Arabidopsis thaliana: one gene and its partner. Each later gene encodes a partner of the first gene's protein in a complex. Links are inferred from orthologs where the notes say so. Each region holds a gene or a part of one and is shown on either strand. Other genes may lie near its edges.

Region 1 (3,880 bases):
GAGATTTAGTTACTGTGGGTGAAGTGAGAATAAGCCAGAACCTGAGGATCGGAAGGTACTCTTTTGTGGAGAAGCCCACTTGGATATATTCTTCCTAGATCTTTATCCTCCTCACCCAAGACCAAAGGAAATATATTAAACTTGATGCGGTGCGTTTGAAACTGATCAGGTTTGGTCTCCCAAGTCAACACCATTACACTTCATTTTCACGATTGTTTGAAGGACAAAAGGCTAAGGTTGTGTTAGCCTCCATCTCAATGTCCAACCCACACATTTTGCTTTGTTGACGAGCCAACTAATCACTTGGACAAGCCAACTATAACTGCCTTGGGGAATTCACTAAGTTGGTTCAAAGGAGCAGCTGTGTTGGTTAGTCACGACTCGAGACTTGTATCTTCCGATGTACATTTAAAGACTACCAAATCCAGTCAGAGGTATTCAAAAAAGTCTTATGAAATCTTGAAAGATGGGGTGAACAAAAGGATTCAATGTTGTCCCTAACTAAGATCCTTAGTCATAACAACAATGGAAAAGGATTCACAACTAACAACCAAAGAAACCAAAATCTTATTCCTCCAAAGGATCCTACAAAAACTCTTCATCATCCACAAATATTCAACGAAGATCTCCATCATTTTATCCAATGAAAAGCCAAAATAGATACAACCGCGTTTTTGTTTGTAATTGCATGATTATAAAGAGTTCTAGAGATTATCAATTATACATTATACAAACGATAACGAAAAAAAAAGAAGAAGAAGAGAGTTTTGGACTCATATAGAAGATTCAAAGAGGGTTCAAAACAAATCAAACCTGTGCATTAGCTCCAGCAACAATCTCAAGAATCTCTCCAGTAATCTTAGCTTGACGCTTTCTATTATACACCATCGAAAGCGATTTCTTGAGATCCGATGCATTATCCGAAGCACTACTCATTGCACTCATTCTAGCTGCAAGCTCACTAGCCAATGACTCCTGTAATGCCCTAAGAATCTGACTGTTAAGATACAGAGGCAACAAAGCATCAAGAATCTGAACAGGGTCTTGCTCGAATTGCAAGATCGGCGAGAAATCAGCTGTTGGTGTCCTAAAAGTCTCTCTTTCAACTGTCAATTTCCCTTCTTTTGTCGTTAACCTGAAAAACTCATCTTCCGCAGCATCCACACAGGTTCCATTAATGTCACAGATCTCTCCTTTAGGTGATAAAGGCAGTAGCGTGTGGATCACGGGTTCTGATTTGACCAAAGAGACAAACTTTGTGTACAAGAGCTCGACTTTGTCGACTTCTTCACTTATAAACAGAGAGAAGACATCATCAGCCACAGCTTGAGCTTCTTTAGCCGTAGGTAAAGTTCCGGCTTCTAGGTATTTGTCGACGGGGATGTACGGGCGACGGAGGAAATAAGAATTTCCCTTCTTGCCCACGCTAATGACTGTGTATTCAAGACCTAGACCTTTAAGCTCTTTGATTCTTGCCTCTGCTTTCTTAATGATGAAATTGTTGAATCCACCACATAATCCACGATCACCGGTGACGACAACGAGAGCTACTTTCTTAACCGGTCTGACTTTGGTTAAGGGAACATCGACATCATCGGTTTGAAGCTGTTCGTTGATGTTGTAAAGAACTTCAACTAGGGTTTCTGAGAATGGTCGTCCATTGACAACAGCTTCTTGAGCTCTCCTGACTTTAGCTGCAGCGACAAGCTTCATAGCTTCGGTGATCTTTTGAGTGTTTTTGACTGAATCGATACGGTCTCTGAGCTCACGAAGAGACGCTTGGAGTGGTGAAACAGAGGAAGCTCGTGAAGGAGGTGAGGAAGTGTTAGTTGGGCACTTGAGAACAGATCGGAATGATAAGGAAGATGAATCAGCAGAAAGAGATGGTTTTGATGAAACCCACATTGTTGTTAGATTAGAGCAAGCCATTTTTTTGTTGTTTGTTTCAGACAGTGTTTTGCTCTAACCTTATCTCTCTGTTCTTTTGATTGTATTGTATTGAAGAAGAAGAAAGAAGAGAGGAGAGATTTGAGTGGAGGGAAGAGAAGGTGATGAGATTAGGTTTGGAGATAAGGTTTTACATTTGCTATTTGGAGTCTGCAAATTGTGGGATCCTCTTTTTGTTGACGTGGCGTTGTATTAGTGGATGGTTCGATATCTTCAATGTTTTTTTTTTTTGGGGTGTGTGGTATATATCTTACTTCTTTGTAATTGTTTATCAGCCAACCAATAATTGCTTTTTTATTTTATGAGTTTTGACCCCAAAGAGAGAAAATATCTGACAAAGGATAGAAATTAGAGTAATTAGGTTTGGTTTAATTTCTTTGGTATGGTTTTGGTCCATTAGTATATATATATACCAATCAAATTACCTTACAATAGACTTAAAATGATATATATATATATATATATATATATATATATATAATTTGTAATCTGGTTTGATTTGTTAATTGCTTTTTTATTTTATGAGTTTTTGACCCCAACGAGAGAAAATATCTGACAAAGGATAGAAATTAGAGTAATTAGGTTTGGTTTAATTTCTTTGGTATGGTTTTGGTCCATTAGTATATATATATACCAATCAAATTACCTTACAAGAGACTTAAAATGATATATATATATATGTATATATATATATTTTTTAATCTGGTTTAATTTGTTAATTGCTTCAATTTTCTCCAAAATTTTTTTGATAAGCAAAACTTTATAGAGAAAAACAAATATTTGGTTATAACGAAAAAATCATATAGTGTAACAACTAACAACAATGGTTTCATTTGTTAATTGCTTCGATTTATTCCAAAAATTCCGATAAAATAATTCTACAGATCAAAACAAATATTAAAAACTAATATTTGGTTAGAAATTAGAACGAAATAATAAACATATAATAAGAATTAACTAAATTATAGATATAAAAATTTATAAAATTTTATTCATTAAATTAATTATAAGATGTTTATATATTAAAATCAATAAAATATTAATTTTATCATGAAAATTGTAGTTTTCTTTTTGGTTAAAATTATATATTATTGTATCTTCAACTACATCCGGATACATATTTTGGAATATGCTTATTGTTACAAGAACATACCGAAATCACACAGAAACCACAAAAATTCCCAACCTCTTGCTATAAACAAGTTCTTAGTTTTATTTGTTTTGTTTTATTTTCATCACCAAACATATTATTACGTACGCTCAGTTTCTCATGGATTTGTACAAACTAATATCATCTTTATTAATCACCAACAATCTAGTGACATTCTATTCATCTCTTAAGGATCAAATCGACCTATGAATCTTTGATGCTTACATGAAGTAAAGCTCATTATTCTTTCCGTCAATTATTGCATACTCGTCCACCATTTCAAATAATAGAACATTAAGGATGCTGAACATGTTGAGTCATACACCTTATTGGATTTAGGGTTATAGTAACAATCTATGTAAAATCTGCACCGTATTAATATGAACTCGTTGCTCGAGTTATAAAAGCCCAACCAAACAAAGATTACACATCACACCAGAACTGACTTTAAAATGAGTTGACCACCCTAAGTACAATGAAGATTATGATCCATCAAATTCAACATTTTCAGTTGCCTAAAAGAGGTAGATCCTTAGTGGAAAGGCAATACAAATTGCTACTCATATGTAATATGCAAGAAATGAGTAAGTTCTTTTAAGGGTTTGATTATTTTATTTTCTTTCTTTTTTATTTCTTTGAAATGGAATGATGATAATGCAACTTTCAAAATATATAAGACTTCTTTTAGGTCACAAAATTTGATGTTAGTATTTAGGTCACAAAATCGGCACCATCCACGCAATTTGTGTCAAGTCGATTATGAAATGAATCAAAACCGTGCCT
Region 2 (2,885 bases), on another chromosome or scaffold:
CTCTTTTTTCCTAAAAAAAAGTCATGGAGTAAGACATCGATTTCTTAATAAGATCAATCAATTAGTTTGATTGCGTGATGGACTCCTCTGAAAAACTTTGGCGCACGTGTAAACGAGGTGCTCTACCTAACTGAGCTATAGCCCTTGTGTTTGTGATACACATTTTATCTTATCATGTAGATAATTTCTTGTCAAGATTAATATTACATGATCGAACATTATATCTCTTTGATCTCATTGTTTATTGGTATTGCTTAGAAATAATATTGGATTTATAATCCTATCGATGTGATAGGTATCCCCTTTCCTTCTCTTTACAATGATAAATAACCTACTTAACTCAGTGGTTAGAGTATTGCTTTCATACGGCAGGAGTCATTGGTTCAAATCCAATAGTAGGTATAACTTATTAGACACCATGATCAATGGTGTCTAATAAGTTTTTGTAACCAGCTTTTTTTATTTTATTGTTTTTATCGTCTTTCGATCCTATTTTTTTTATACATTCTTTTTTTTTACACGTCAGCTAGTTACAAAATCAAATCGTATTGAGAGCCTCGACTCGTGTCCGAGCTCGTCTGAGAGCTAGATTAGCCTCAATTGTCTGTCTCTTACCTTCAGCTTTTCTCAAGTTAGCTTCTGCTATTTCAAGAGTTTGCTGAGCTTCTTGTGGATCAATGTCACTATTCTTCTCTGCATCATTTACTAAAATAGTGATTTCATTATTGCCTATTCTAGCAAAACCGCCCATCAGAGCCATCGTTAACCATTGGTTAGCAAGGCGTATTTTCAAAATACCTATATCAACAGCTGTGGCAATCGGCGCGTGGTTTGCTAATACACCAATTTGTCCACTATTAGTAGATAAAATGATTTCTTTTACTTCTGAATCCCAAACAATTCGATTCGGAGTCAGTACACAAAGATTTAAGGTCATTTCTTCAATTTACTCTCCATTTCTAAGTTCGTAGCCTTCGCAGTAGCTTCATCGATGTTACCCACTAAGTAAAAGGCCTGTTCGGGAAGAGAATCAAATTCTCCGGAAAGGATCAAATTAAACCCTCTAATTGTTTCCGCTAGACCAACATATTTTCCCGGAGAACCTGTAAATACTTCTGCTACGAAAAAGGGTTGTGATAAGAAACGCTCAATTTTTCGTGCTCTTGCTACGGTTAAGCGATCCTCTTCGGATAATTCATCCAACCCCAGGATAGCTATAATGTCCTGAAGCTCCTTGTAACGTTGTAAAGTTTGTTTTACTTGTTGCGCAGTTTCATAATGTTCCTCGCCAACGATTCGAGGTTGTAGCATAGTTGACGTTGAATCTAAAGGATCTACCGCTGGATAGATACCTTTGGCAGCTAATCCTCTTGATAGTACGGTAGTCGCATCTAAATGTGCAAATGTGGTGGCAGGTGCGGGGTCAGTCAAATCATCTGCAGGTACATAAACTGCTTGAATAGAGGTTATGGACCCCTTTTTCGTAGAAGTAATTCTTTCTTGTAAAGTACCCATTTCGGTACTAAGGGTGGGTTGATAACCCACAGCAGAAGGCATTCTACCCAATAAGGCGGATACCTCGGATCCTGCTTGTACGAAACGGAAGATATTGTCGATAAATAGAAGTACGTCTTGCTCATTAACATCTCGGAAATATTCTGCCATAGTTAAGGCAGTCAGACCAACTCTCATACGAGCTCCTGGCGGTTCATTCATCTGACCATAAACTAGGGCCACTTTGGATTCCGCAAGATTTTGTTCATTAATGACTCCAGATTCTTTCATTTCCATGTAAAGATCATTTCCTTCACGAGTCCGTTCGCCTACTCCACCAAATACGGATACACCACCATGAGCTTTAGCAATGTTGTTGATCAATTCCATAATTAGTACTGTTTTACCCACGCCAGCCCCACCGAATAGTCCAATTTTTCCCCCACGACGATAAGGGGCCAAAAGATCTACTACTTTAATTCCTGTTTCAAAAATCGATAATTTTGTATCTAATTCTATAAAAGCAGGCGCGGATTTATGGATAGGAGATGTTGTGCGAGTATCGACAGGACCTAAATTATCAACGGGTTCCCCAAGCACGTTGAAAATTCGTCCTAGAGTCGCTCCGCCGACTGGAACACTTAGAGGATTTCCCATATCAACCACGTCCATTCCTCTCTTTAAACCCTCTGTCGCACTCATAGCTACAGCTCTAACTCGATTATTTCCTAATAATTGCTGTACTTCACAAGTCACATTAATTTCTTGACCAAGAGTATCTCGACCCTTAACCACCAGAGCATTGTAAATATTAGGCATTTTGCCCGGGGGGAAGGCTACATCCAGTACCGGACCAATGATTTGGGCGATACGTCCCAGGTTTTTTTTTTCACGTATCGAAACCTCTGGATTTGAAGTAGTAGGATTTGTTCTCATAATAAAAAAAATATGTTAAATTTTGTTACGAATTTTTTCGAATACAGAAAAAATCTTCGATAGCAAATTAATCGGTTAATTCAATAAAAAGTGGGAGTAAGCACTCGATTTCGTTGGTCCCACCCAAGCGGATGTGGAATTCAATTTTTTATTCATTCAATGAAGGAATAGTCATTTTCAAGCTCAACTAACTGAAACCTAGTTTTAAAATAAAAAATATATGAATAAAAAAATTTTTTGCGGAAAGTCTTTTATTTTTTTATCATAATAGGAATAGGCAAGCCTTTGTTTTATCTAGCGAATTCGAAACGGAACTTTAGTTATGATTCATTATTTCGATCTCATTAGCCTTTTTTTTCGTATTTTCATTTTAGCATATCCGGTTATGCGTCCCATTTATTCATCCCTTTAGCAACCCCCCCTTGTTTTTCATTTTCATGGATGAATTCCGCATA

Evidence for each region. Proteins that work in one complex are often made in the same cells at the same time.
Region 2: the proteins of ATPC1 (region 1) and atpE are in contact, whole or in part, in a cryo-EM structure (PDB 6FKF), measured with the Spinacia oleracea proteins. The link is inferred for Arabidopsis thaliana from one-to-one orthologs. Residues at the interface, in NP_001413255.1 of Spinacia oleracea: Asn81, Gly82, Pro84, Phe85, Thr88, Leu89, Glu91, Val92, Arg178, Pro186, Thr187, Ala188, Lys189, Gln192, Asp196, Asp197, Phe199, Ser200, Leu201, Val203, Ser204, Glu205, Glu206, Ser279, Ile281, Leu282, Glu283, Phe284, Glu285, Gln286; in NP_054942.1 of Spinacia oleracea: Leu8, Thr9, Pro10, Asn11, Thr26, Asn27, Ser28, Ile31, Pro39, Thr40, Ala41, Thr42, Ala43, Gly64, Gly65, Phe66, Arg68, Ile69, Thr75, Leu77, Val78, Asn79, Asp80, Glu82, Lys109, Arg110, Ile113, Glu114, Leu117, Arg121.

Annotation. Positions count from the first base shown.
Region 1 is NC_003075.7:2,349,954-2,353,833, forward strand, and holds ATPC1 (ATPase, F1 complex, gamma subunit protein), read right to left. Parts: upstream 2,066-3,880; 5' UTR 1,930-2,065; coding exon 808-1,929; 3' UTR 545-807; downstream 1-544. UniProt on the Arabidopsis thaliana protein: Produces ATP from ADP in the presence of a proton gradient across the membrane. The gamma chain is believed to be important in regulating ATPase activity and the flow of protons through the CF(0) complex.
Region 2 is NC_000932.1:51,727-54,611, forward strand, and holds atpE (ATP synthase CF1 epsilon subunit), read right to left. Parts: upstream 938-2,885; coding exon 539-937; downstream 1-538. Other genes in the region: atpB (ATP synthase CF1 beta subunit), read right to left, coding at 934-2,430. UniProt on the Arabidopsis thaliana protein: Produces ATP from ADP in the presence of a proton gradient across the membrane.